Oryzias latipes: one gene and its partners. Each later gene encodes a partner of the first gene's protein in a complex. Links are inferred from orthologs where the notes say so. Each region holds a gene or a part of one and is shown in the gene's direction. Other genes may lie near its edges.

What was found.
Region 2: cytochrome c oxidase assembly factor 1 homolog (region 1) and tmem186 share a complex: the UniProt entries of both Homo sapiens proteins name them as parts of the mitochondrial complex. The link is inferred for Oryzias latipes from reciprocal best matches to the Homo sapiens genes COA1 and TMEM186.
Region 3: cytochrome c oxidase assembly factor 1 homolog (region 1) and timm21 share a complex: the UniProt entries of both Homo sapiens proteins name them as parts of the MITRAC (mitochondrial translation regulation assembly intermediate of cytochrome c oxidase complex) complex. The link is inferred for Oryzias latipes from reciprocal best matches to the Homo sapiens genes COA1 and TIMM21.

The regions. Positions count from the first base shown.
Region 1 is NC_019875.2:5,299,011-5,309,403, forward strand, and holds the end of cytochrome c oxidase assembly factor 1 homolog, read left to right. Parts: 5' UTR 1-69; intron 70-91; coding exon of another isoform or gene 92-117; exon of another isoform or gene 118-192; intron 193-554; 5' UTR 555-567; coding exon 568-661; intron 662-866; coding exon 867-1,018; intron 1,019-5,719; coding exon 5,720-5,796; intron 5,797-5,868; coding exon 5,869-5,995; 3' UTR 5,996-6,353; downstream 6,354-10,393. Other genes in the region: blvra (biliverdin reductase A), read right to left, coding at 92-117. UniProt on the Homo sapiens protein: Component of the MITRAC (mitochondrial translation regulation assembly intermediate of cytochrome c oxidase complex) complex, that regulates cytochrome c oxidase assembly.
Region 2 is NC_019859.2:36,184,630-36,194,203, forward strand, and holds tmem186 (transmembrane protein 186), read left to right. Parts: upstream 1-4,653; 5' UTR 4,654-4,792; coding exon 4,793-4,813; intron 4,814-5,266; coding exon 5,267-5,932; 3' UTR 5,933-6,001; downstream 6,002-9,574. Other genes in the region: gde1 (glycerophosphodiester phosphodiesterase 1), read right to left, coding at 1,060-1,165, 1,887-2,062, 4,028-4,297; heme oxygenase 2, read right to left, coding at 8,027-8,154, 8,334-8,466, 8,540-8,863, 9,000-9,167. UniProt on the Homo sapiens protein: As part of the MCIA complex, required for efficient assembly of the mitochondrial complex I.
Region 3 is NC_019878.2:15,515,210-15,525,910, reverse strand, and holds timm21 (mitochondrial import inner membrane translocase subunit Tim21), read left to right. Parts: upstream 1-4,828; 5' UTR 4,829-4,843; intron 4,844-4,952; 5' UTR 4,953-4,974; coding exon 4,975-5,257; intron 5,258-6,391; coding exon 6,392-6,454; intron 6,455-6,585; coding exon 6,586-6,683; intron 6,684-6,792; coding exon 6,793-6,866; intron 6,867-7,334; coding exon 7,335-7,440; intron 7,441-7,526; coding exon 7,527-7,619; 3' UTR 7,620-8,143; downstream 8,144-10,701. Other genes in the region: uncharacterized protein LOC105356682, read left to right, coding at 9,329-9,348, 10,009-10,168. UniProt on the Homo sapiens protein: Participates in the translocation of transit peptide-containing proteins across the mitochondrial inner membrane.

The DNA.
Region 1 (10,393 bases):
CGGAGAACCGCGCAAACGAGGGGGAGGGGTCAGGGAAGAGCACGCGCCGGTAGAGCCGCATGTGTTCAGGTAAGAGTGACACTGAACTCACCTGAGCGCATTTGTCCGCCACAGCATTCATGGAGAGGCCATTTCGACCAGCTGACAGGACATTCCCGATGACGTAAAAGGGCCCCGCCCAGTCGGTGCCTCGTAGTCGGTGATTTTTTTTTTAGAAGCATTTTTTTACATCCCAATATTTTCAACAGTGAATGCTTTATCTTTATTTTCGGATTTTTGGAAATGTTTCCTCCTGCAGGAGAAAAAAAAAACATCAGAACAATGTTCCTGTTTTCTCTGGGATTTGTGTACACTGTTCCTGTTTAAATAAAGTTTCAACAAATTAGAAACCAGGACAGGACTCCAGAGCTGTAGACCTAGAGAGTTCCTCTCTATAAGTCATTTTTCTGGCAGCATCCTCTGATGATTTTCCCTCCATCATGTCTCTCAGGTTGGTGTCTGCAGCTCAGCCGCCATCGTGGCTCCGTTTCATCTGTCTTTGCTTTTTTGTGCAGGAAGAGCTGCACCATGAGGGTCCCCATCCACCATCTGCAGAGGCTCACCATCTTCACTACCGTCCTGACGGGTGGGGGCGTTGGCACCATGTACTACCTGATGCAGAGTGAGTGCATGTGTGCGTGCACGCGTTGAAGCAATAGTCTGTTCAAAACAGAAACTCCTGGTTCCGCTTTACGGTCTGAAAGTGGCTCTGGTTTAGGAGTGGAACCCGCAAATGTCTTGGTCTGTCTCTCTGCTGCAGCCCCTTCATGTCTCTGTGACTCATGCACACGTACGTGCGCATGCTCTCTTTTCTGCTATCTCGTCAGAAAACTTTGCTGGGAGTGAATACCATCAACTCGCTGTGCGACAGCTGAAGGCGTGTCCTGTTGCCATGGAGAGCCTTGGAGCCCCGCCCTTACGAGTTCATAACATCCATCTGACTGACAGATACAACCGTGTGGACCATCAGGCAGCCCAGGTACAGTCTGTCAGGGGGGTGTCCAGCCGCTGTGTGATGATGAGTAAACTGACCAGTTTCTCCATTATCACAGGAAGATGAAAAATAGGATTATTTTTGCTAACAAAGTATTAGGCAGAAAAAAATATTCACAAATTAATTCTGTGCATTTGTATGCAGCCTGCTTATGCCGACATAACAGAAGGCAGAATAAATCCAGTTTAAACACACAGTTTAGTTGTGTGACATCCTCCAGAACAGGAAAAGCAGCAGAATTCTAGTTGTTACTTGTCAAATCTAGGTCTGAAACCTGTCCCACCTCAAATTAGGGCTGTGTATTGGCAAGAGTCTGGCGATACGATACGTATCCCAAAATTTTACCAAAACATATTTTCTTTTTTTCTTTAAATATGGCTTTGAAAAAACTCAACCTGAATTTCAATATGTCATCCACTGCAATAAAATGGTCAAATTCAGTTTATTAAATGATCACAATGTTAAGCGCTGCAATTGCGTCTCATGTATAAGTTCCATTTACCAAAGCAAATTCATAGTGCTTTTATTTTGGTAAGTTAAAATATAGAAAGGGAACAGTCAACATTGTTTGATTTCCACAACAAAATATTTTTCAGTATAAGAAAAACAAAGAATGAATGAGCCTTAACCAATAAGTTTCTATTGGGCAAATAAAATGCTGTTTATTTTCAACTTTGCTTAATGTAGCTTCTCCATTACTTTTAAACGGTTCAGGAGTCAGAATGGTGCTTCAAAAATAAAGGGTGGGGTGTGGGGGACACACTGATTATTTCCAGAAACAATAAAGTGATGATGAGGCAGCATGACGGAACGACGAAAAGATGCTTTAATGTGACAAAAGTGCTTTGTTTACATATTATCAGTCTCTGCCTGTGCTGCACCTTTGGCTTTCCAGCCACGCTTCATCTCACACGGAGGTAAACTAACGCTCCTCGCCACGATGTCGCCTTTTTTCAGAGCGTTGTACACATTCCTCTGATCCATCAGGTCGCTAAACTAGAATCTATTGCTGGGATGTTTTGCAGAATTTTAGCCCGCTTTGCTGATTAGCAGGTTTTTAGCCGATGCTAAGCGCATAAGCCTCTTTAGCCGCTGCCGTGCTTCACTCTTATTTATCTGAGCCGCTAAAAAGCATCACAATCCTCGTTTTTATATGTTGCTAGAAGCAACATATAAAAAGCAACATGGCTCAGAGTTTCTGTTTGGTATCCATCGCAAGTAAAAACGAAGTATTTCATGTCTCATAACAACAGAACAAGCTGCCTCTGGCTGCAGTCTTCCTGTTGTCTCGTGCAGAGTAGAGCTGCTCTAAGAGGCTCCGTGTTCTCTGCTGCCAACTAGCGGTCAGAGGATGAAGTGGAGAACAAGAGTCAGACGCTGAAGAGCGCTCAGAAATAATTAAATAAATATCGTTCTGGCAGTAGGGTTGGGCGATGTCCCTTAAATTGGCCGTTGACGATGTTTGCTGTCAATCATCGGTATGGACGATGATATCGTCGTGGGGGGGGCTATTTTTAATATTTCGGTCTTATATAATTGCTATTCGTTGTTTTACTTTATTACTTTATTTATTTTATTTCCCAACTAATGACTCATCCGCGATGATCCAGTATAAACTGAGGGAAGTGACTTTAACAAAAAAAGTAACAAACAAACTAGAAAAGAAACGGTCCGCTCCCGCTCTTAACTAGTCAAGTGGACCGGCGGAGCGTGGACTTACAGCTTTGTGTTTGAGGGGAAGGGGGGTGCTTTGTTACATGAGCGGTAGTATGTGGGAGATTTAGAACTGCGATCCATTCCGCAGCTCTAGGGGAATGGGCTACCGAACTCAGAACCGGGTCGAAAAGTGTGTGTCTGAGCAGAGGATCGTGAGCACACACACAGCGCTTTGGGGCGGTTTGAGCTTCAAAGCAGAAAGGCCGCTCAGTCCTTAGAAATCGTTCAAACAATCACGTGGATTTGTGTTTCGAGTCGTGTCCCGACTAAATAAAGGCTAATGTTATTCCCACATGTTTACATGCAGCCAAGATGCAGATTGCAGCACCACCCAAGCTAATGTTGTTAGCCCGTGTTAGCATACTGCTAATTCTGGCTTCTTTCTGGCTCAGTTTTTCAACAGAAAAAGCACTGATTAAAAATAAAACGATGAGCGAACAGGCGTTTCATAATAACCGTAACATTATTAAAAGCAGGTTTAGATGATCGTCTTGTATATTACCGAGCTGACATATCAATGTATAAAACCGCTCTGCAACATTGTTTTGTAATGAATTGTTACATTCAATAAAGTTTGAGAAAAAAATAGCCGCTCGGCGGAACTGATATCCGCTTCCGGTTTTTCAAATCCTACTGCGCATGTGCGAATGATTTATTCCGACCGAAAGTGTGACCCATGTGAACGTTTGTTATAATCTGAAAACATTTTTCTGGAACCATCTACACAGTTGGATTCTAATCCGACCATCGATCCCATCAAGATATTTTTCACATGTAACCGGGGCTTATGGTGTCGACTCGCAGCTTGGCGGGGGCGTGGCATCACGATGGTGTCTCTCCATCGGGATGTCACTCACCCATCACGATGGACGATGTTTCCCGACCAGTTCTATTGTTTCCCCTGTATCGTAATCAGCATCAGTTCATTGCACTTTACCATGGCTCCTGGTAAAAACGTACTGTGGCTCAGGATCGTTTCAACTCGATTTTTCCTAATAGAACAATAGACGTTGTGTAAAATAAGACACACTTCAATGAATTTACAATGGCTAGGTGAATCAGTATCAGTAGCGATAGCTCAGTGGGTACATGTACACAATACACTATAGCAAGTCAATGGGGTCTGCATCCAGAGGTGCTGGGTTCAAGACCAGCATTTAAAAAAAATAAAATAATTTGCTTTGTGTTTATTTTCTTCATGTCATGAGTGTTTTGCTGTGTCAAGCACTTCTCACAGAAAACGTCACATGTCATGTTGTTTTACGTTTTATTTTTTAATTATTAAAAACAATGTTTTGTGTTACGTTTTTTTCCATCATCACTTCTACATTGAAGTGTTACAAGGAGCTTAGTTGAAGCATATGATATACGGCCAGTCCGCCACCAGATGCCGCTGTTCTGTGTGGTTTCAAAGCCCTGAATGGCTGGTTCATTTTTCCGGCACAATTACATGAAGCCCAAGGGAAGCTTCATGGGGCTTCTATTCCCATCGCTAACAATTCTAACTATTCAGTAGGACTATCAGTTGTGTATCCACCTGACTTCTGCACAACACAACTGATGGTCCCGACCCCATTTATAAGGCAAGAAATCACACTTATTAAACCTTACAGGGCACACCTGTGAAGTGAAAAACATCTCAGGTGACTACCTCTTCAAGCTCATCAAGAGAATGCCAAGAGTGTGCAAAGCAGTAATCAAAGCAAAAGGCGGGTACTATGAAGAACCTACAATATGACATATTTTCAGTTTTTTCACACATTTTTGTTATGTATATAATTCCACATGTGTTCATTCATAGTTTTGATGCCTTCAGTTTGAATCTACAATTTTCATAGTCATGAAAATAAAGAAAACTCTTTGAATGAGAAAGATATGCGATATTGGTGATTAATAGTGCGATAACGATATAATTCGCGCTATATAAACAAATAGCAAAACAACCAAAAACATCATTTCCGTGTTCACTGCAACAGTTTAAAAATTATACTCCAAATGACCCTCGTCGACGTAGGAGGCAAACATCAAACATAAAAGGGCTCATCTGATTGATCAACAACGTAAACGGGTCCTTCCGACTGGTTAAATGCATAAAGGGATTTATTTCATTTGTTCAATATTTCAAGCTGCCATGAGTTTGTTTTAGCACATTTAAGGTAACCATTTATTGCGATTTTCGCGGTCTTTTGGGGTATGCATATTGCACAGCTTAATGTCGCGATAACGATAAATTTGCGGTATACTGTGCAGGCCTAATGTACATGCATCATTATACGCAAAGTGATGAGAAGTTGTTTTTGAAAGGATGGGTTTTAAGGACTAAATATGACGGTAAGCCAGATGCTTTGCTTACCATAAATACAGTTGATGATCAGGTGGACGCCTCCTTGCCCCTCCCCCTTCACCATGTGCTGCTTTTGGAGCATGCTTCTGATTACAGAAATCCTACCGCAGAGTGTCTTTGGTCAGAGGTTATTTCAGATCCTCTGTGGTACTGACTGAATGTTACAGGAGATCTTTCCCACTCGCGTCTACAAGTTCAAGTCAGCTTTGTTGTCAAAAATGCAATATATATGGCATCCAGCACAGTCATCTCAACCCACAGTCAAACTGCCAATAATAATAATGGTCTGATGTACAAAATATATACACAGGAAGTATCTAGAAAAAGTAAGATTGGGACATGGTATTCAGTATGGATAAAGGGGCAATAGTGGTTATGAGACAGATTCGTGTATCTTCATGTAATTCAATTTTTTCAATTAATTTTTTTTTTTGTATAGCCCAAATTCCCAACAACAGCAGCCTCAATGGGCTTCTTAACGTGTAAAGTGACAACAACCTACAGTCACTTTGATGAATGTTGGAAATTTATTGACTGCAACTTCTATTTCTCTCCTTGTAGATAAAAATAGATGTGTGGTTTAATTGAATTATTTTTTGAATGTGTTTTTTTTCTTTTCTTTGCAGATTAAGATTCCTGTCACAGGCTCAAAGACTGGAGGTTATCTGTACACGTGTTCACACAGAGAGCCACAAACACACAAGTGGGTCTGCTTCAGTTTTTTCCTCTGAACGCTCAGTACAAATTAATAAGGAGTTTGTGCACCCCCCTGCAGGTGGGATTTGAAACAGGCTGAGCTTCACCTCCGGGAAGGTTCCGTCATCGACTTGCTGAACCCTCCTCCTCGTCCAGCTACGCCAGAAGAAAGTACACTAGAGGAAGACATGGACAAATGGCTCTGAACGGGAATTCCAGACCAGTGTCTGGTGCTGAGGACGGGCTATGCTTTGATCATTACCTCGTACACAGAGCTGAAGCTGTTTGTAGAACGGTGCACGTCATTCTGCAGCGTGCAAATGAGAACCAAAGAGCTGAGGCGCAGCTTTGACTGTAATTTATTTCAAATGTTTCTCAGTCTCTGTTGGAAAGGATACATTTGTCAACACTGACTCTTCACTCAGGAGGCTCCTTTTTCACTCATCTCCCCTCTGGCAGACTGTCTTTTTTTTGTTTGTTTTTTGTTTATTGCAAACTAAAAGAGAATTGCGACATACCTGAAATACAAAGAAACAAACATATAGTTTCATATTTGTAATACAACTCGGCCAGTTATTCTTTTTTCCGAACACCACTCTCCAGTTTCCCCACCCCTGCAAAAAAGGGAAAATAAATGAATATCTTTAAAAAAAGAAAGAGGAACACCCTCAACCCCCCCCCCCCCCCCCTCTCCATAGTTTGCAATACAAAGCTATGATATATATTGTCCAATGTAACAAAAGCTTACCTCTATATGATCAACTCAATGGCCAAATCAGTCAACCAAATGGCAACATAAATTAGAGAAATATAGTTACATAAATAGCTTATGTAATAATATTTATACGTAAGAAAAATAATACTTATAATGCTAATAATAATTAGTAATAACTGGAATATTTTAAACTATAGACTACGCGGACGTGGTGGTAGAATGTGAGGAGGCGAAGGAGAAGAAGTGATCTAAAACCCGACCCCAGACTGAGAAAAATGTGTCCCTCAATCCCCGAACTGAATATTTTATTTTGTCAAGTTTTAATAGTTGCATAAGATCCGTCAGCCACTGGGACACCCTGGGTGGGTCTTAAGATTTCCAGTGCAATAATATACGGTGCCTTGCAATTAGAGTAGCAAAAGCAAGAATGTCTTTGTGTTTTTCTTAATGTATCTAGGTTTTGGTGTGAAACACCACATATGGCTGCTTCTGCACTAGGCTGGAGACTGATATCTAGAGCATCTGATAAAGTTTTAAAAATTGTAGACCAATAATTCACCAGAGCAGAGCATGACCAGAACATGTGGGTTAGATTGGCTGGGCTATTTTGACATCTGTCACAATTTGCACTCAGATGAATTAAAGATAAATTCTTGACAGTTTTACTTTAGAGAAGTGAGCCCTGTGTATAATTTTAAACTGTATTATATTTAACTTGGCACAGGAGGTACTGTGGTTAACTCTCTGTAAGGCCCGGTTCCATACATTATCATCCAAAATCCGCCCAAGCTCTTCCTCCCAGCTACCTCTTATTTTCAGAAGAGCTGCGCTGTCATGAAGTGATATGCAGTCTTTGATTTTGGAAATTAATCTTTTGTACCTTGAATTAAGTGGCAACTCAAACACCTCATCTATCATGGAGACTGGTGGGATGTTAGGGAAGGTCATGCTGCTGAAGGAAGTGACGCACTTGAAGGTAACGAAAAAAGTGAGAGTGAGGCAGATTAATTTTGGAAGCAAGATCATTGAAGCTTGCAAATATACCGTTTAGGTACATGTCCTTAAAGTTGATAATACCTTTCTCTTCCCAAATTGTGAAGGCGAAGTCTGTCTGACCAGGGAGAAAAAGGGGATTTTTGCGTATAGGACTAGTGGTAAGCACCTGAGTGAGTGTGTACGTCTGTCTGAATTGAAATATAATTTTAAAGGTATTTGTAACTATTGGATTGTGTGTAATATAGTGTGAAATGACACAGGGAAGACTAGATCCAATTAGGGCTGTCAGAGTTGTTTTACAGGAGGCGGCTTCGAGTTGACACCAGTTGATGTCAGAAGCCTGGAGCCAATGCATAATTTTTTGAATATTAGAGGCCCAGTAGTAGTGGCACAGGTTTGGTAGGCCTAAGCCACCTTTGATGTTTAGGTCTTTGTAATAATTCTAAACAGACCCTTGGGTTCTTGCCGCTCCAGATGAATGAAGAAAAGCTTTTGTCGAGTTTTATAAAAAAAAAGATTTAGGGATGTAGAGGGGAATGCACTGGAACAGGTAAAGGAATCTGGGAAGTATATTCATTCTTATACTGTTTACTTTGTCCTTCTCCAGTAAGGCGAGGACATTTTCTTGATACAGACTTTCCATGTCTCTTGTGATATTAATTCCAAAGTACTTAAAACCGTTTCTGGACATCTGAAACGGTAAGGCAGTGTCTTGTAATTGAAGCGCTAAGTTGTTGAGAGGGAAGCACTGACTTTTACTGAAGTTTAATTTATATCCAGATTTAGCCCCAAATTTCTGTAGGATATCATCAATGTGGGGAACAGTTGGGACAGGGTCAGAAATATACATTAAAAGGTCATCTGCGTATAACGAAACTCCAAGCTTCCCCTCCCCTGTGGATGCCTTATACAAGTTGATGATTTAAGGATAATAGATAAAGGTTCTATAGCTAAAGCAAATAAGAGAGGACTAATTGGACAGCCTTGACGTGTTCCTCTGAATAACGGAAAATACTTAATTGTTTGCCATTTGTGATCACAGAAGCTACAGGAGAAGTATACAAGAGCCGGATCCAGGAGAGGAAATTTGGCCCATATCCAAATGTTGGCAGACTCAGTCTTAAGAACAAACAGGCTGAGGAATAGCCTCTTTCCCACGGCAGTGAAGACACTCATTAAGCAGTCGTGACCCCCGTCCCCCCCAGAGTATAGAGTTAATTCAGTCTCAATAACCAGCCTAGAGAAAGTCGAAAGGGCCATTCGATTGGCTGAAAGCGAACATGTCTGCTTTGCTGATTAGTTTGATTGATAGATTCATTAGCCAATGATGAGATTAGTTGACCTGCTGAATTAGTTGCAACGATGGTCCCAGCACATCACCAAAAACTAGAACAACCTCCAAGAAATGGTAACCCAATTCAGAACTGGAAACCTCATGTGGGACCATATCTCAGAACTCGGTATATCATTCACTTTGGAAACCTCTCCTCGACCTAAGAACTTGATCCAGAACTGAGAACCCTACCTAAAACTCAGGTTCCTTCCTTGATCCTGGTGCCCATCAGCCTTGGTGCCTTTTAACTTCAGCACAATAGAACCAATCATTGACCATTCAAGTCACGTCCAGCTTCCATATCTTCATGGTGCGTTCCCATTGAAGACTGCCATGTGATTTGCTAAACACCAGAAAAGTGTTCAATAAAGTTCATTGTGTCTACAAAGTTAACTGAGTTCTTAAGTTATTTTTCTCAGAGACGGTTTGTGTTTTCAACATACCTTACATGTTTTGGCGGAATCACTTGACGAAGGCGGAAGTGATTCCGCCGAAACATGTAAGGTATGTTGATAACACAAACCGTGTCTGAGAAAAAAACTTGGACTCACCAGAAAAGTGTTTTTGATACATTCTACTTTTGTCTGATAAAGTGCATGAGGGTTGGACCATTTGTCACCAGGACCATGTTTTCCTCTCCTCGTGTTGGAGCTGAAGCTGATAGCCATGTCTGCTTGGTGGTGCTCATAAAGGGATCATATCTTGGGATCATTTCACAGTGCCGTTACTTTCACCATAAAACTTTGCTTCATTTTTCCTCCAGCTCTGGGTCAGTCTCAGTTGGTTCTTGTGATGTGGAGCTAACCACAAGAACTTGTCTCGTCTTTATTTTTGTGGTTATACGGACAGTTTGTGGTAAATCCTTTTGACTATAAGCTGCTGAGGTAAATAAAAAAGCTTTTTTTTTTTTTACAAAAACCTGGTTGCTTAAGGCCGTGTCATACATTTTGCACATTTTGCACGTATGAAATGTCATGATCTTGGCGTGATTTATGTCATTCATGAGTGTTTCTTTCGTTTTTCACTTGTCGATGTGTGCTGATGTCCGTCAAGGGTTTTGACCGACGGGTCTTTACATGGATTTGGTCTCAAGCTGTTCAGAAGTCTTGGTTGATATGGCTGAGAATTACGCAGTTTATGTATTTTTGCGAGATGCATACACAAATTTGTGGCTTTCCACATATGTCTTACAGACTTTTCATGCATGTACCACCAATGTTTAACTTTTACTTCGCATATACAGCACAAATATCATGCTCAAATTAATTGACGTACGAATCACTAATGAAATGCATATTATCTGCACAATAATCACACACGGTTCATGTTCCATCTTGCTTTACGATGAAGTGATTATATATGCCAACTTTCTAAGTTGCAAATGAAAATAATATATATTTGCTTTCAAATGCGTTTTCTTTGCTTTTAAATTTTTTTTTTACTTTCAAAAACTTTTTTTTTCAAATTATTTTTATTGCTTTAAATGTTTTTTTTCTTTTTTGCTTTCAAAAAATATTTTTGCAAACGCAAAGTAGGAGAATTTGCACAATTGGTGGCTGA
Region 2 (9,574 bases), on another chromosome or scaffold:
AAATAAAGACACTGAAGGTCAGTCAGCCGCCGGGAGTTTTGTTCATGCGTGTCGTGTTCGTGTGTGGAGATAAACACGCAGATGTCTGCTCCCAACGGAGGAATGCTTGTTCCTGAAACAACAATCCGCCCTGCAGCTTTGCATTCCCAATTCACCTACAAATATGTTGAACAGAGAAAACAGTTTACAAGAAACTACTGAGAAATACTCTGACTGGCATCAGTTGAATCGCTGCTTTTCAACAGAAAACATTTTGTTGCTGTAAATCCACGACTCTCCTGTTGTCCTGAGCAGACAACACCTGTTTGGCCTTTACCTGGCGTTCGTTCAGAAGGAGGGAGATTCTGGCTTCGACTGTGTCAAGAGAACTGGACTGAATCCGTGTGACCTCATCCACACAAAATGCTTCGTCTCCAGCTCCAAACAACTGAAGGCATCAATCTTTTTGCCGTATGGACGCCGCCATGTTGGAGCCAAAAAAATCCTCGGTCAGCAGTGATTGGTCCGAGTCGGGCTGAGTCATCGCTTCTATGACAACCACGCTCACCAGTCGGGAGTGAGTTTGTTGGAAGGCCACGCCCCTACCACTTGAAAGCGGTCTACACAAAATCTGTCAAACGTTTGAACGTTGGAGGTAGGGGCCAGCAGGCTCCGCCTACTTTTCACAACATCCGATTGGTCAGTTCATGACTTGAATAACTTGAACTACAGAAAAAATATGACAAAAAACGAGGATTATCAAGAAGCTGTTAAGAAATGGTATCAGATCCGGAACGGTTATACTGACCAATAGAATGAATAACTGCTGTTTATTTCTCTATAGACTTCTATGGGATTTTGGCTTCCTGGAGCCACTTCCTGTTTGGAACGTCAGGGGGGAGGAGTCACTCAGTCCAGTTCTCAGACACAGTCAATGGTTAAAATGCTACGGGGAAAAGTGAATAGATGTCAGACCCTCTTTTTGTGTTTCCACCCCCTGATCATCCGTGTTCTCTTCATGCAGATCAATTCAATCAGCCAACATGCTTCACTTGTTCATGTCTGTTGAGCAGGATTCACCTCCTCTGGATGACCTTTGACATCAAAGTAGATGCTGAGCTGCAGTTTAATGCACTCCTCCACTGCTTCAACCAAAGTTGGGATTTTCTCTCCAGCAAACTTGTCCCTGGTGACGAGAAATGCAAAAACACAAATCTGTTTCACTCTAAATGCGTCTGTATGTCCAGTCATTCATTTGGTGAATGAACAAACCGGGCCAAGCAGAACCACAGCTCTGAAATTATGCTAATTGGATTTGCGATAGTAAGTCATCCTCATGGAAACACGACAAGTTAGAAAAAACTCACAATTATGTATAAAAGAAAAGCTTTTTGAGCTTAGAGGAGGTGGTTTTTGAGGCACATCCAAATTGACATATTTCACAACTGTAAAATACTGTAATGGAAACACTTTCTTGATTAAATGAGTCATGTGACCAACAACCGGATGGCGATGCCCTTCTTGGTAGGAACTGGCGGCCTTGGTTGCTGCACAACGGGCGCCACTAGAAGTCCCACAGCGTCACACAGATATGACGTGTTTTTTTAACTTTACTGTCACGTTAACAGCAAGCTAGATCAGCGTTTCTAGAGTTTCTAAAGTCGAAAAGCAGACAGAGCCTTCAGCTACAGGCTCCTCTCTAGAATCAGATTCTCAGTTTGCTGGATAAATATGCACTGATTGCAAAAAGCAAACAGACCAGAGTAAACAAGTTGTACAATAAGCAAACTTTGGACAAAAAAAACAATAATCGACTTGTAATTAAACCTTAAAGATCCGTATATCTTAACAGTAGAACATCGTTTTCCCACTTTCTCTGTGTATTTGGTTGTTTGTACTCCGTCTACCTGAGCCGGTGTTTAGCAGCTGCATCCAGTTGTCTCAGCTCTGAAAAGCTCAGCTGGCACAGGGGTCCCGATCCATTGGTGGTCCGGTCCACAGTCTCATCGTGCATCAGGATGGGGACGCCGTCTGCCGAGAACTCCAGGTCCAGCTCCACGCCGGTTGCTCCGTTCTTACTGGCCTGCACCAATCAGAGGGTCAAGTCTGCGGGATTCCAGTACCGTCACATGGAGGCAGGAGAACGTTCAGGATGTAACGTCAAACCTACGGTGGCCCTGAAGGGCAAATCCCTTCAGCTAGTCGCTCAACGAAAAGAAAATTAAGATCACACAGCATTAAAAAACAAAACAACTTTACATGATAGAAACGTAAACAACATTCCAGAAACTTACAGGTCAATAAAAAAAAAACTAAAACTAAATACAATTCCCCAAAAACATGACTCAAAAGAAAAAGGAAACGTTTCTTAAAACAGAAGTAATTTCCAGAAATCCAAATGAAATGTCAAAAGAGGAGAAACCAGAAACTGTAAATATTATGGGGAGCCCCCTCCTGATTGGATGATGATGTTTGTTCACCTTTTCAACAGGAAGTTATCCGTCATGGCGATATCTTCTGACAGAACCATGTGGTTAAACCTCTGGCCACGCCCACTGCAACCGTTTGGTGAACCATCCTTCTGATTTCCCTCTTCTTCAAAACTCATCATCCAATCAAGGACATCCCATAATAACCACCTTTTCTAGTTTCTTATTTTGTTGACTTGTTTTTTTTACCATTTCATCTCGATTCGTGGAAATGACTTTTGTTCTCTGAATTTTTCTTTTGGTTACTGGAATATGTCTTTTTTCCCCAAAATGTAATGTTGTTTATTTTTAATTATTTGTTTTGCTTTTTTTATTTTTAAAATGTTTTTGAGTGATTCAATGGTGCGATTTGTGTCTGCAGCTCACCGCTGCTGCAGAAACAGCCCCTGAGGAACCGTTTGGAGGTTTAACACGAACCATAATCCCAACCTGAACCCTTCTTCTGGGTCAAACTGGCCACACGTATGTGGAAAACTACATGTGAAACAACAGTCTAGATCCAGATTCCTGCTCCAATGAGAAAAACAGGGACGTTCATGGATCTGTTTGACTGAAGCACACAAGAGGGGCGGAGCCGGGAGCTTGAAGCCCCGCCCAGAGCATTTTCCATGTGATGCAGATCCTCACCGCTGCTGATGTGGTCATTTTTGAAACCTGAAATGAGCTGGGTCACCCGTCTCTGTTCGTGGTCGTTAAGGTTTAAGAAATGTATCCAGTCAGTGTTTTTGTGTAAATTGATTTTAATCATTTAACTTAAATAGTTAAACTTCTGCTCTGTCTGAATTCCAACTCTAACTACTGAAAAACTGTGTAGCGTATATGTACATATATATATGTAGTGTCTTGGATTTAAAAAGCAATTCAGACTCCATGCTCACAACTTTTTTTTTTTTTTTACACGGCAGATATGATGTCATCGATTTCACAAAGTTAAAATATAATTACTATGAGCGTTTTGCACCGATTATTTTAGTCAACCGTCTTCTGAAGATAAAAACATTGATTCATTAAAAAAATACATGTTTTTGGTAATAATTGGTCCAACGCAATGCATTGTGGTCTATATTCGCTGATCTAGTGAGCATCATGCACACTGTTTTTTAGCAGAGACTTCTGGGAAATTTCTAGGGCCCTGGATGTTGGAATGGTAGATTTGGACAGCTCTAGTCAGGACATGTCCGATAACGTAAGCTCTTTCAAACGGTGGGGCTCCTACATATTTGGGGTTGCTTTGCCAAATCTTGCAGTTGCTTTAGCAACTCAAAGCTACCGATGGGCGCCGCCCCCTGTCTACGTCACAAATACGATCTTTTTCCAACAGCATTTTTTCGTCTGCTCCTGATCCACAACGATTTGAATAAAAAAGAACTCAGGAAAGCAGTTATATTCTCAACTTTCTTCATATTTGTCCTTCATCACCATAAAAAAGCCAAGAGATCAAGTTAAAAACACCAGAAACGCCGTTTTCACCAGAGCTTTCACAATAATGTGACACTGACTGACGTGCGTCTCCACGTGACACAGGACACCGTGAACACCTGTAAAGACATTCGTCTCACCTCTCTGATGGCAGCGATGGTGTTCTCCGGCGCGTCGTGCGCGCCGCCCCGGTGAGCGATCACGGACACCCGCGCGCTCTCCGCCCCGCAACCCACCGGCTGCAGCACGAGACGGGCTCGGCTGCGCGCCACTTGCGGGAAACGAAACATGGCTAGAAAACAGTACAAGGAAGTGGTGAGGACGGCAGACCACAGCGGACTTCGGGTCCCCAGTAAGACCAGCACGAAGACCAACGAGTGGAGGGCGACCTCGTCCCCCAGCGGAAGCATCGCGGCTCCTCTCCTGTCTGGAAACAGCTGGAGGAAGCGGAAGCACCGCCCGCGCGTCACTCAGACTTTCTAACCTGTCTAGGCACAGATATTCGCCATGGCACAAGCTCCGCCCCGCTGACTTGTGACGGCATCGAACGTGTAACGAAACCGGCACATTCGGCGTCTTTGAACACAGCCGTTAACGGCTGAAGCTGATCGATTCTCCCGTCGGGCCGGATGTGCTCCGTCAAGTCACGACAAAATAAAAGCCTGTAGTTTTTAACCAATAAAAACAATTTACCACAATAAATATAAAACATTTTTTTTCAATAAAATATGGCTATAAATACTATCAGCACTTTAAAACGCCTTACGTGGGCCAGCCAACCAAACAAAATGTGACTTTGAAATAAATTGAAGTAATAAAATAAAAGACTAAGAAAGGACTTCCGGGTCACTGGTCGGCTAACAGATCACTTCCTGTTCTCGTGTTGCTGTATTTTATCTTATTTTATGTCCTTGTCTCCTGTCCTGGTGAGTCTTTTTCCTCACGTTTTGCTTGTAGCAACAAAACTTCATTCGTCAATTAAGATGTTTCGTCTTTATTTATATTTTATTTATATACTAAACAGTTCTGGAGGTTCGACAACTGTTCAGAATGAACTGTCTCTAGTCTCAGCAGGTTACCTTTTCCAGATACCAGAGACGAGTTCAAAACCAGGAATAAGACATTTGACTTACAATACCATTTAGCAAATTTAGGAGGAATTACAACTGTTTTAGTTGACTGTATTGCAAATGTTGTAGTTTATCCATCCCAGATTTCATTGAACATGTATGTTAGAGTCTGGTTGAACTAAACCAGACCAATATCATACCAGTAACTTTAAATCACTTTATGAGATATTGGAAGAAACTAACCTTAACTGCTTTTCCGTCTCTCAGCATACTTCGAAGGATGTTTTTCTAAGTGAAGTTTTTTCTCAGATGGAGTCGCTGTTGCTGCGGAGGCTGACGTCCCGCCTTCTGTCATGTACCAGAGGATCCTGTTTGCTCTCAGGACGGATTGCTTACACCTTGGAGTCTCCTCCTTCTCCACACTCCTCATCAGTTCAGAGCCACCCTGGACCCGTTCCAGCTAAAGTTCCCACTTTGATCCGACACTACGACTCGCCCACCCCCAAATATTCAATGATTTACACCCTGCCACACATTAAGTTCCTCAGGGCGGTGTCCAGACTTAAACTCCTCCAGACCGCCATCACTGCTGTCATCCTGCCTCCAGTGTTTGTCCTGTATTTCCAGGGAGCCGTCTCCTTCTTTTTGGTCAGCTACTCCACTGGAATCGCTGCGTTTGCTGGCGTCATGCTGTACACGCTAAGCCATTTCTTCAGGAGGGTTGTAGGAATGATGTACCTTGATCCATCTCAAACCGTGCTGAAAGTTTCCCACCTTACTTTCTGGGGAAAGCGCAGTGATATGTACATTCCTGTTTCCGATGTTATGACCATTGGAGATACTGGAGATTCAGCGAATGAGACCATCCTCCGGCTTCAGAGGTACAGCGGCCCCGAGACGTTGTATTTCTCTGTGTATTTTGGAAAGGTGGTGGATAGACAGGGCTTTGAGAAAGTATTTGGAAGTTTAACATAAATTCTTTGAACTTTTCTTGGGGGGGGGGAAACTGTTGTGCTGGAAGTTAATAAAAATGTAAACATATTACAGTCCTGACTGTTACCTTCACATGTTCAATGCTAACTAAGGCCGAATCCGAATTCCTCCTCTACCCCTCCGGCTTCTCCCTATTCCTCCAATTGTTGGGGCATTTGGAGGGTCTGAAATAGTTTAAGGGGGCAAACCCTTCAAAAGGGTGATCCTGTAGAGGAGAAATGCATTTCTTCACTTGGGTTTGCTCTGAAGGACTGAAGTTAAGGACTTTTTGTTTTAGCGTCACTCTTTAACGTTATAAAACTGATGTTAGGAATTTTCCGAGCGCTGACGGGGACTATGGATTATGTCGTCGAGTGGGAGTGATGCCCGAATCAGGAGACAATATTTTCCCATATCCCTCCGTTTGGAGGGCTAAATGAAGGGGTAGGGAGAAGCCGCAGGGATGAGGGAAGAATCCGGATTCAGCCTTAGACATCTGTCCGCCATTTGTAGCAGATTTTTCCTGATTGGACACACGGAGTCCAGTTTCAGGATCAATAATTGGTTTTCTGAGCTAAATGAGTTGTAGAAATCCTAAAAGAAATGTTCTCAACGATTAAAAAAAATCCTAGAAATAGATATCTTGGAAGGATCACTCTTCAGAGGAAACCTCAGCTCTCAGAGAAGAAAAAGAAATCCAGTCATTGGGTTGAATCCGAATTAATTCGTTACCCCTCCGGTTTCTCCCTACCCCTACATTTATCCCTTCAAGCCCAGAGTTTTGGATAAACTATTGATGCTTGATGACATCATCAACAGTCGCCGGTTATCTAGGTTAGTGCGTAGCTGCCGGGGCTTGGTAAATTACATAACATCAGTTTTATAACATTGAATCTCCACCCATTTGCTCAATAATTTAATATATAGTAGCCGGCTCATAAAAATTCATCTTCATTAACATTTCAGGCCTCATGGACATTTCGTCTTTCTAACGCGGACAGCCTTTAAACACAGGGAGCCGTTCAACATGTCAGATATTTCAGTTTCACGTTTTAAAGTCAGCCTTTTGGCATTAATTAGCAAGCTTCATGCTGACAACTTCAAAAGAGGAAAAGACGTACAATTTACTCTCTCAGACAAAAAACAAATAAAAGACCAGCTTGGATTCAATCAATCTTTATTGACAAATGTGCATCCAATTTCAAAGTGCATCTTTCCAACTCTGCTAATTTCCCTCCATGTTTAAGCATTTCTGACCGACAACATGAAGAATTGTTTTAGCATCACACACAAACGAGTGTGCATTAGGGGAGTAAAGATTAATTGATGAACCGATTTATCCAGCCAGATTGATCTGTCTGAGGCAAGTTGCAAATCAATCATATTGCCATCAAAAAAATCATTTCAAACGAATTGAGGTACAGTAGGTATTTTTGACTCTAAGGTCAAACCGATCAATCACAGCAGACGACACACGTGTGATGTCATGAACACGGATCAGTCCATCATTCCAGTCCAATGTGTGGACAGACTTTGAATAAAGTCATGTGACCATCCAGTGTCTAGAATGTTCTAAGAATGTTCCCTTTGGATTCTTTGGATGTGGAAAAACAACAGTGGTGAACTTTAGGAAACTAACATGTGAATGGATTTGACATTCATTCTAGTTTACTTGTTGGTTTGGACACAGATTTCATTAACTTGATGATCTGGAAGAAATCCAAGAATCTGGAAAACTGTTCGGTAGCAGGAATTTCTGTCTGAGTCTCACTGCTGGAAGTTCGGATCAAGAGGATCTGGATCCACTTTAGGACAGAGGATCTGGATCCACTTTAGGTTCAGAGGATCTGGATCCAATCAGATCGTTCAGAATGAACCAAAATCAACTATGAATTAGATCAGCAGCCACTAACTATGATACAGATCAAATCATGCCCATAAACTACAACTTGTTCATTGAAAACGAATAAATACTGGAAGACAGCAATTGAAGTCTCGGTTTTGCTTTTGACGACTAAAGTTTGCCATTGTTGAACACCAATCCTTATATCGTCTGAAGGGATTCACCAACAATGACCGCTGAGGTTTCGTTAAGGCTCAGAAGATGTACCAAGCAGTAAACCCGGCCAGAAGTGCTACCCAGGCTGCCAGAAGCACCTGACAGGGTGGATATCTGACAAGCGTGGTCGCCAACTGGAGGGCGTAAGTCGGATTTCCACCAGCAGCTGTTTGAAGGAGTAAATCAAAGACAGGATAAAAGTGAACACTGACATGCTAAAATGAAGAAACTGTCTTATATAAGCTGCTTAAAACAACAGGATTTTTTCTGTTATAATAGTTTTAATAACCCAAAACATTTTCGGCAATGAAACTTATGAACCAAAGGAAAATATGAATTCCTTACCCATTTTAGCGGCATAGTACGGGCACTTGTTGATATCACCGCCTTGCATCACTTCTGCATGACTGTGTCCTAAACCTGGCTCTTGAACTTCCTCTTGTATGCTTTTTCCGATCTCTTCAAGCTCTGAGAATACCTGTTGGGATCACCGCCCTTGTCACACTGTTCCGTCCTCACATTCGGGTTTTTGTTCCAGCCCGTTCACTCACCATCATGTTGAAGCCAAAGGCCCGGTTGGACTCCTCCACAATCCTAAGTTTTGTCTCCATGTCCAGGTCCAGCTCGTTCATCCGGCTTCTGTAGAGCTGCTTGAAGCCCCTGTGGCTGTGAATTCCCTCGAACTGATAGAAGTTCACACCCTCTCCTGTGGATGGCAGCTTCAGGGCCCTCTGGGCCACTTTCTTCAGGATCTGTCCACCTGACAGGTCTCCCATGTAGCGGGTGTAGGAATGGGCTACCAGCAACACCGGGTCCTTCTGCCCGACCTCGCGGATCCGGTCGACATAAGGCTTAGTTCCCGCCGACAAGCTGATCTGCAAGATCAGCCCAAAATATTCCTAATGTGATCCTAAATCTTTTTGTTTGAAGAACAAATGCGTCTTTACTTTAATAAGACTCTTTATGAAGCACAAATAGATTTTCCAGAGTTACTCTTTGGAAACGGGATACCTGGTTCTCCCAGTCCTCTCCATAAAAATACTCCAGGTCTCGGGCCAGAGCTTCACTGCGATGCAGCTCTACTGGAAAATAGATTGGAGCAACGTGAGGGTGATCTTTGTTCTTCTCCATCTCCTCTTCCATAGCCGTGTAGACGAAGTACAGAGCTGCTGTCCCTCTCTGAAAACACAGAGAGAGAGAGAGAAAAAGAACGTCGGACTCGTACAGATGCCACAGTCCACCGTAAAGGGGTCCATGGAGGGTCGTGCAAAAAAGATGTACGTAAATATTTGATCTCTATGGGTTCACTACGATGGTCACCCACGTGCCCCCCACAGGTTTGACTATTTTCTGCCCACAGACGGCCCAAGTCCACCTGTAAGGACAGCTGGGATTAAGGCGTTAACTTTACCCTTGTTTTCTTGAAATCATAATTCAGTCATTTCATAATTGTGGCTTTTACGTATTAAATCATGTGGAGATTTTATTCATTTATTCTGCAACATTGCCTCTAACCAACCACGGTATCCTCAGCTATGCAAACAGAACCAGAGTTATGGTTCACCTTTCGGCATGTCCCGCCACGG
Region 3 (10,701 bases), on another chromosome or scaffold:
ATGCATAATGTTTTTGCCTGTGTTAAGATTGTGTGCTGCATGCTCTGTGACAGTGTGTTCATGAAGCTGCAACAAAACAATAAAAATGTTTTTATTTTTAATTAATTTAATGTGGTAAAAAAAACCATCGGCGCAACGACAGCTCACCTGTGCAGCTTCATGTCTGCAGGCCACAGAGCAGTCTGCTGTTGGCGTGTCAACAAAGCGTCTGCTGATGCTCTGCGTTGTGTTGCATTGTCTCCATCATGTAGACTTCTTGAGAATAGCGTTCTCCTGGCGCAGTTTGAGCGGAATTCTCTGACAAGTGAAAAAGCGGAGCAGAGATTTACACCAGCATGATGATGATGATGATGATGATGATGATGAAGGACACTGATGAAATGAACACTGGGGGGGGGATTTCATGTGCAAAGCTGAACACTGAGGACTAGATGGAATCAGCCCAGCTGCTGTGAAAGGCTGTTTCCTCCTCTGGACTTTTACTTTCACATCATTCAATTTGAGCTTCAGGTCGTTCAAAACACTCGTCTATGTTATAAGTCCCTCCTAACTTGACTTATCGTCTTTGTTTCACTTATTTAGAATTATTGACTTGAATATTCTGATTTAAACAACTGATTAGAGTTCCTTAAATTGGGTCAAAATTTGAAACAAATGGAATTCATTACTAACTTCATCCAATTCGGGATTTCTGGGATTACCAAAAAAAGTTTAAGACTATTGCTTCTGCATGCTTCTTTTCTAAAAGCATCTACATGATAAAATGGTTAAGAATATTCTTACTAATACTAATAATTCCCTTCAGAACCCTCAAAGTACTTTGAGTGTGCTGCATGTTCAACTAAGTTTTTTACACAACATTGCCCCCTAAAATATCCTAAATTAATTTGACAATATTTCTTTCTGAACATTTCAACTAACTTTTAGATAGGCTTTGTTTTTTTTTTATTTTGTAACTAAAACAAAATAAAAATAAAAATAGAACATCACTTTTAATGTAGGAGCTTCGTGTCTTTATAATGAAACACATTTATACTAAAGGTATCAAAAGAATGAATTGTTTTTAAAAAATATGATCTTTCAGGGCTAATTTTACCTGTGCTTTATAAAACAATAGAAATGAATTGTATCCTTTTTTTTCTCTTGAATTTACTGATCTGATCTACATTTGTCTGTGTGTTCTTGTCTGAGGAACATTAGTTAAGAACAAAAGTAATTTGTTTCTTATCAAAAAAGACAATAAAGTGACAAAAGCGGCTATTGAATCCTGCAACGTGTCATGGAAAAAGGCAGCCTTCGCTAAATAAATTCATAAAAATTCACATTATGAAGGAATATAGATAAAAGTTGTAATGGAATTTACAAAGATTTTTTTTACATTAAATTTGGGATCTGACCATAAAAATAAACTGTATAGGTAAGAAATAATATTTTATCTGAATATGCTCTATTATGCATCTTTGCAAAACTGCTGCACATGTTCAATAAGATTAATAATTTTGAAAAATCTTTGTTGGAAGATTTTTTTTAAAGTCATCCTGCTCCATGTGTGAGTTCACATCAAGAATGTGGTTTGTTTTTATCATTTTAACAACTTCCTTGTCTGATTTGCATCACAGTTTGTTGCATTTGCATCTCCTGAAAGTCATAAGTTTTGTCCAAATACTAACATAGTATTTTTATATTTAAAGTTCCGTATTCTCCGATTGGCTGAAAGGTGTTTGGAAGCCGACTGTGAGGGTTGCGAGTTTCATGTGCAGTGCCTTTATTCCTTGAAAAAATGTGTATTTTTTCTCATCCATTTCCAAATCTTGAAGTTTTTTTGGCTAATTCCTTTATAAAAATTAAAAAAGTAGCGCATTTAGTCAGAAATACCAACTTAGAGCTTAAAGGCCTCCATATTAAGACTCTTTTCTGCATGTGGCCTTTGGGAAGCAGTTGAGAAGAGGTTTTTATTTTATTTTATCTACCTTGGACTGTGAGAAATTATTCAAAAAATACCTAAAATTCTTAATTAGTTGTAATAATTTAGGTTTCTTTGTTTATTAGTACTGGATAAAGATCAGATAATATTTAGTCAGAAATTGATGCAAACATTTTTCCAAACAGGATGTTTCTGGATTTATTTTGCCAGTGCAGTTCTTTGACACATTAACACACTTGTGCTTGTGAGTTTTCTCGTGTCTAAATGTGTTTTATTTCTTTTTTGTAATAATTTGAATTGCATTCATCATGTACACGCCTGTACGTGTGTCTTTAGTGTCACAAAAACACGCATCATCCACTGTTTCCTCTGATCCATGTGCAGTCATCTCTGTGGTTACTAAATAAACTGTTGGGTTTTTTTCTGTTTCTGCACACATCGCTTTAACTTTGTGTCTGTCACTGCTGGACAGTTCACCTCTCACAGAAATAAATCCAGAAGGAAACCTGTGCAGAGCTGCACATGCACTTATCGATTTTTTTCTGTCTGTTTCTTCCCTCTCAAACACACACAAACGCGCACACGCAAAGTCGCAAACTCATCTACCAGCTCAGAGACGGAGGCGGAGACGTCACTAATTAAGTAAGTCCAGGTCAATTCAGTCAGAAGCAGCTGGGGCAGCGGTGGACAAAGATGCAGGACAAGGAGAAGGCCTGCACTAACGATGCTGTTCTTTTTCTGCAGATGCACCATTCCTCTGCATCCGGACACATTTCACAGCGACGTATCGGTTTCCCTCCCACACTCCTCTTTAAAGGACTTTTTTCCGTAGTAACTTGTAGATTGCAGAGATGAGGGAAAACAATTAGCAGAAAGTTTGCATTTGCTTTGGATGGAAGATATGGATTTTTCTAGAGTGGAAGAACCTTGAAGTATCATTTGAAATAGACAACTTTCAGAAAATTTAACTTTTTTGGGGGAGAACACAGTACCTTTAATGTAAATTTGTTTGAAGAGACTTAAAAAAATCTTTACAGGTTTGAAAACTGTTTTTAAGTATCTGTCAAAATACAAAAGCTTTTATTTTTTTATGTTGACGTGATGTCTTCACGATAGAAACTTGTGTTGTTTTATATAAACTGGTCATTAGAAAAGTTAAAGGTAATGTTACAGCTTTTAATTATTGGATCAACTAATTTTTAGTTTATTATTTATTTTTTTTGCATTTTACTAACAGTTTATTCTGAATGTTTGTGATGCAGAGGATTTTTTAAAACTCAGTTTGGACATTTATTTGATAACATATTGGGAAAATGCTGGACTGAATCTTTTAAATAAACTAATATTTACCGCTTTTATTGTGTGGCAACGTTTTTCTCTTATTTGAGTTTCAAATGCGACAACATGGGGCCACTCTTCAGCATTTCCACAAACCCGTCCCGAGTCTGGGTAAAGGCAGAGGGTTGAGTCCAAGACGCCATCCGCTGTAAAACTGAAGCCAAACGACGTGGGAGGATTTTGTGGTGATCCCCAACAAGAGTAGCCAGAAAATTAAAACAAAATCTGTGTTTGTTATTTATTTATTCTTGCTTTATTATAGATTATATTACAAATTGACCAGTTTTGTATTTGACCAATCCCCTGAGGAAGAAGGAAGCTGGTGTGACAATGGAAATATTTTGTTCAGTGGCAGTTCTACACTGACTTACAACCCCCCCCACACCCACATTGACCACATCGTTTTGTGTTCCCTATTTTTAATTAACACAAAAATCAACACAAATGTAAGAATTTTATATACTCGTATTACAAGGGTGTCAAACTCAATTGCACAGGGGTCCAGGTTGTGGGCCGAACAGGATAAACATTTAGTGAACACATTAAAGATACGTTTTCAAACATTTTAAACTTATTTTGAACAAAAATTTGAATAAAAACAGACAGGAATATTGTTTCGGAATAAATCAACTTCAAGCAGCCCCAAAAATGTAATTGATAATCACAAAGACACTAAATAACATTGTTATAAAATCTCAATCATGTGGATTTGCTTTCAGGAAAGTGCAACTTTAATTGAAATAGGAAAGAAAATATATGCATTTATCAGATGTTTCTGAAATTTGTGGGAGTGCTGACTCAAACAGCCATTCAGCAAATACATATTCATGTCTGCTGTGCATTTAAGTCCTTAGCCAGTAATGCTGTAGTGAGCAGTAATTTGTTTTCCTTTCATTTTTTATCAACATGAAAGGATCCTTTTAAAATAAATTATACCTGTAATTAAAAAAAAAACTTGTATTAATTAAGGGTCTATTTAAAGTATTTACATAATCCTAAGTACCAAGTCAATAAGTTTGAAACCTTAAGTGAATTATTTTTATGTTGAAAAAACTCTGCTTCTAATTAAGTATGTCTAAATTGTTGCATGTTTTGTTTTTTTGGATTTATAACTTTGTTTTGTCTCAACACGTTTTACCTTTGTTATAAAACATAAAAACTGTTTGATCTCAATTTTTTAATCATTGTTTTAGCAGAAAAAAGACCACATTTTTTCTGCTAAAAAATGTGGTCTTTTTTCAAGAATTCTTGAATCTTGAATCTTTAGCAGAAAAAAGACCACATTTATCACTCAGAATTGACTTTTTTGGACAGTTTCAACTTCATTGTGGAGTTATTGTGCAGTATAATGAAAACAAAATCAGTAAAACGAAGTGTGGGTTTTTAAAAAGAGGATGGAAATCAAGCATTGCCGCAAAAACCGATTTGAAGATAAATCAATAAAGCGAAATACGACGTAAGGTCAAAAAAGCCCCAGACCACAAATAAGGCTGCAGTTTGACATCCGGGACAGAAGGGGGCAGTAGCCATCTTTAGAAAATCCTCGACGTCTGATCGACCCAGCAGGTCAGTGAATCAGAGGTCTGAATGGCGGTTTCCAGCATTGCAATTCCATGTTACCATGAAAGACCGCTGTTATTTGATTCTTATTTTCAGTAGATGAGCTGCTGTTTTCTTTTCTTTTTTTCAGATATTGTCCGTCGGATAAAATAATGTCTTTCACGCACATTTTAAAAGCCGTGCAACAAAGTGTGCGGAGCTCCGGGAAAACATTTCTCCCCGTGCAGCAGGCTGGCGTGCTGTTGTTCACACGCAGAGCAGGAGCGGTCATCCCCGGCCTGTCCGTCCGTGGGTCAGAGGCTCCTGTGTCCGCCCTGAGCTGTCTCTGTCAAACACGAAGACGCTTTTCTGTTCACGTTATCCTCAGAAACAAGGAGGAGAAGCACAGGTCTGTTTCTGCCTACCAGAGTCCTAAAGTGTCCTCTGCTCAGAAAGGTATGCCCATTTCAGATTTGTGCAACTAAACGCATATTTACTGTCTTGTCTCTTTAAATGGGGTTTAAAGCTACTATTTTATTTAGAAAAAACTAAAAATCTTGTTTTAGGACCGCCCATTTTGTTTTCTTACAACCAAAGCTGCTTTCAAAGTTTCTTGGCAAGTAATAACTCCTACTCCCTTTCCTGTGGTGTTCCTCAGGTTTCTGTTCTGGGCCCTCTTTAGTCTATACCTCATTCACTCACTTTATGTACTTCATCTTTTTCATGTGATTTATTGATACCTAAAGATTCTTAATGACCTGAAACTGTGTTGGTAAGGTATAAATATCCGCTTAGAAGTTATGAACCGGATACTTCATGTAAAGAAAATGTTAAGTTTGATAAGTTTGCTTCCTTCCACTCCCTTTCAAGCCATCTTTAATTAAATGACTAAATATTCTATGTTTGATACATCTTAGTTTGTATGGATGTTGATTGTGTAGTTTTCAGCATTGTTTTTGCTTTGGTTGCTTGAAATAAGCAATGCCAAATCCAATTGAACAAGGTTTATTGAAAAAAGAAAAGAAAATCCAAATTAATCTTGAAGATAAATTCTGCATTAATTCATCAAATCAATGGATATATTTCATTTTGCATTTATTCCAGCATTGGAATATATATATTCCAGACCAAGAATTTGCTCCTTTATTCTATTTTTATGTCATTATTTTTAAAGTAATGAAGTAATTACTAACTCTGGTAACGTTAGGTTGGGGGTGTGAGGGGGAGCGGGTAATAGGTTGGTGATGGGAAGTGGAGCAGGCTTGCTCCACGCCAACAGCACAGTGGTCAATTTCTATTGAACTACTGCTGCTCTGCAGAAACTAACTAACTAAAGATCTTTAGGACTTGTCATCATAATACCTCGGGGCATACTAGAGGGCCAGACCTAACGTTATGTTGATGAGTTCCTCCTCCTCTTGTCATCTCTTATAGCCGCAGTCTAATAGAGCTACCCGTCTGCACAGACACACAGTTTCCTTTTATATCAAACCTGGAATATTTTCACTCTGGGTTAAATTTTGCTTATAAATCTAAACTCTTCCACTATGCATTGGCCACTCAAGAGCCTCTGCTCTGTTTGTCTTTCAGTCAAAGATGCTGGGAGAGACTTCACCTACCTGATCGTGGTCCTCATCGGGCTTGGAGTAACAGGTGAATTGAACTGCACGAGTCCAAGGAATGGCTACACAACAATCCCACATTGCTTGTTTATATATTTATTTATTTGGTCCCAGAACACACAACCTAAATAATCAGCTGCAGTTTTCTGCTGTGTTGGTCAGGGGGGCTGTTATATGTGGTGTTCCAAGAGCTGTTTTCCTCTACCAGCCCAAATAAAGTCTACAGCAGAGCCTTTGACAAAGTCAGGTCGCACCCAGAGGTAAAAATCAAGCCAGACGGCGTCTCCTATCAATATTTTTTTACTGTTGAAATGGCTAGAAATCATTGTTTTTCCAAAATAAAAGTAAGAAATACATAATCAATTGCAGGTTATTGGGGCATTTGGAGAACCAATTAAATGTTACGGTGAGACCACCCGCCGAGGGAGAAGGCAGCAAGTCAGGTGTGTTGACACTTTATCTTATCTTATTGAACTTTTTCTTACTTGCAAAATGTTGCTTTAGCATTCATTGATTCATGGTATAGAATACAGTAAATCTGATCAAACTTGGCATAACAAGCAGCTGCCTTTAGTTTTAGAGGAAATGCTTTTGCAGGATTTGAAGGACTTCCTTTCAGAATCACAACCTGTGAACATCAGCTATAAATCATATTTTCAGCAGCATTGAATTTCCTTCAACGTTTATGCAAAACTTGTCATGAAGGAGAATTTAGTTTCAGACCCCACAGCTATGAAACATAAAAGTTTTTATTGTCTTTTGAAGAGCTAACGTGGTATTCGTGCTGATTTATTGTAAGCATCTGAGAATCTGGAGCTCTGGAAGAATGGAGTTACAAAATGTTAAGGTTATTACATATATATGTTATTGTTGGAGTTTTTTTATTCCTTATTCTCATATTTCCACTTCAGTCACGTGGAGTATGTAAAGGATGGACTTAAGCACATGAGACTAAAGTTTTACATTGAGGGATCGGAGCCGGGCCTGAAAGGGACGGTGCATTCAGAGTCTAAAGAGGTAAGTCTTTATTTAAATGGAAACCTGTTGTTTCTTGTGTGGATTTTTTGATCAGTTGAGATAATGGTATCCTTGTTGTTTTGCAGAATCTTGAAACTGGAAAGTATGAATTCCGTTATGTATTTGTAGAAATAGATACCTACCCGAGACGGACTATTGTTGTGGAGGACAACAGATGAGGAGCTTTTCTGACACTCAGGGGACAAGTCAAGACGTTTGCACTTGTAAAGCAGGGTTTCATGTCTGTGAACTAAATAAATGGCTTTTTCCTGAATATATTATTGTGAAATTTTAAGAAATGGATTGGTTAATAAAATTATTTCTCAGCATTTGGTAGAAAGCTTCTCTATCGCAGTGTTAATGAAAATACAATAGTAATTTGTAAATAGAACATACAGAGATATTTTTTTGAAGATAAATGTATGCTTTTACAAATGATCACATTCTACAGAACTAATATGCTATAAAACATGAATTTGATCAAATTTTGCTTTTAAATGTAGGGGATGTTTTACTCCATTCAAACTTACTTTATCCTTTTTTGTTGTTTTACATGTAAAAATGTGAATAAAAAAGAATCACCAGATGGAGCTGCAGAATTTAGTATTTTGAAAATCTAGTAAAATGTGTAGCAACCCTAATTTAATTAAATAACCTATTAACATGATTTACACTGAATTTTAAATAAAAACTTGCAGAAAAATGTCTAACAAATCTTTTTTTTTTTTTTTTTACTTAGTCAATTTTAACAAATATGTCCCCATTGCTACAGCTTTTGACACCCCCAAAAGAGTTTTTTTTTCACACGAATCTCCTTTTTAACACACCCTCTTTCAAATTTAGCATTTGTAATTATTATTATGACTTTCAATTAAAAAAATGTTTTAATAACTTTATTTTAACTATTATTATTTGTTTTTCAAGTTAACCCGTGCTCACCATGTTGACAGATTGAAGGCTTGTGCTGCCTTCGCGGACTGTTGGAAATACTACAAACTACTAAGGAGTCGCTGAAAAACGGGTTGTTACACCGTTTTCTAGCTTTCTACGTGAACCCAATGTTAAATTGTGATCCATGGTGAATGTAAATATCACAGACACCTAAATGTATTTTTTTTACTAATAGAACCATCTTGAGTAAAAGTCGATTGTTTTTCCCCCTCCACACACGAGGTCTCACGAACACCGCCCTCTGACAAAGCGAAAGGCAGCTGTAAACGCACCACATAGCTTCGTTAGTCGGCTAGCTTCAAGTCTGCCGTGCGCGTGAAGTTGTTAGCTCCTCGTTAACTTGTCGCACGCTTGAAAAATAGATTTTAGTATTCAAAAAATAGCAGCCATGGTTTTAAAATAGTTCGGTTCTGGTCGCTGTTTTAGCCCCGCGGTGAGTGATAAAAGTCTTCTCTGCCTCGGCCTGCTACGTTTTAGCCACATTAGCAGCCATATCGGCTCCTCGGGATTATTAATCTGCACATTAACGGCGAAGTGAAAACGAATGGCTCATTTTTTATGATAACTCAGAAGTTTAAGACGCCGTTACTAGTAAGTTCACATCATTGTTCATTTCTATGCTTGTTTAGATACAAATATGATAATTAAAAATATATGAACACTAATATAACTGGTGCTTAAGTTTTGCTAAACAATTTGAAAACAAAACGAGTCACAAAAAATGTATATGTATTCTGCTGCACCCCATATATAGCTTATAAAAACACAGGTTATAGTGTAGAAAAAGAAAAAAAAAGTATATTTTCTAAAATATACTTTTCTTTTTTTTTCTTTCTTGTTTCCCCGGAAAGACTGAGTTGGATGTTCGGACAGGACTCGGCACGTTATTCTCCAGTTATGACATTCTCCTCTCTGAGATAAACACCTGAAGAAGAACATGGAGCTGTACTGGTACATGTGAGTAAAGTTTATGGTTTTATAATTACACCTTACCATGGATATACTTTTATGTCAACAGATGAGTGCTAAACCGCTGCAGGTGAGGTAGTTATTAAATTAAAATATCGTCCTCCATCCTAAAGAATATATTTTTGAAGTATATTATGATTTTTTTATTGATTTGATAATTATAACTGATGTACCTTTGTAATTTTAATGACAGTGTCAAGGCATCCAAGCCTCAGCTATTGTGTGTTGTAATAATACTGGATGGCAGTCAGCTTTGTCTGGAGGAGCACTTATGTGATTATCATATGAGACTGCTGTAATTATATCAAATAGTCTTGGATGGAATTTGATTTTGAAACTGTTCTTTTTTTCCAGAAATGCTTTGACATTTCCCACCTCAAAGGGGCATGGCTTGGTAGGCCTGTGTAAACACTAAATGTCACAGAGAAGAGTTTGCTTTTTGAGGCAGGAAGTGGGCAACATTGAGATTCTTTTGGACTCCTGGGAAAATTCTCTTTTTTAAATTTATTTATTATTTCCATCTCATTTTAGCCCCAGATTTCATTTTCCTTGACCTTCTTCAAAATGTCCGAAAGATTTCCATCCCACTTGCACCATTTTCTTTTTCAGCATATAAAAACTGAAGTTCTTGTCTCTTTCCCTCTACAGAGTTGTCATCATATTCATCATTGTTAAGATATTCTTCTACGTGTGCTGGTACCGGTCAAGACAGCGGCAGCTGGCGGCATACCTGAGCAACACGCGCAATGCCCAGATAGTCATTGTCGGAGGAAGGGCCTATCTTCATCAGATGTGTGAGAGACAGAGTGTAAGTGCAAAACTCCACATTTGGGTCTGAAGCCTCCACAGCCTGAAATGAATAACTCTGTTGTCATGCGTTGAAGTGTGTCTCAGCCCCCGCAGATTTAGATTGTTATTTAGCTTGGTTAGGAAAGTCTGTAGACCTTTTCTGATGTGTGTGGAAACGGAAACTGTTGGAGAAGAAGCTACCATGCAGTTCAGAGTCTAAATGTCATGTAGATATGTCTAAGTAGGTCTCAGCTGACATTAGAGGAAGTGCTTATGCTGTCTGCAGTCTGCTTGTGGGTTTCAGTTATTGACTCTTGATACTCTTTTCTTCGTAAGACTAAGGATGACTTTTATTCTTAATAATTTGACTCCTGGATTGGAATTCAGTTAGGAAATGCTTTGTCACTCTAACAATAGAGAGCAGTACAACGAGCTATTGATACTTTTGTGTTAAATGATATTTTATAAATATGTGTGAAAGTCAGTGACTTAATACTGTGTGTTTGACTTGTCTAAGTTGCGTTTTGCATCACCAGCTTTTGTACATGCGCT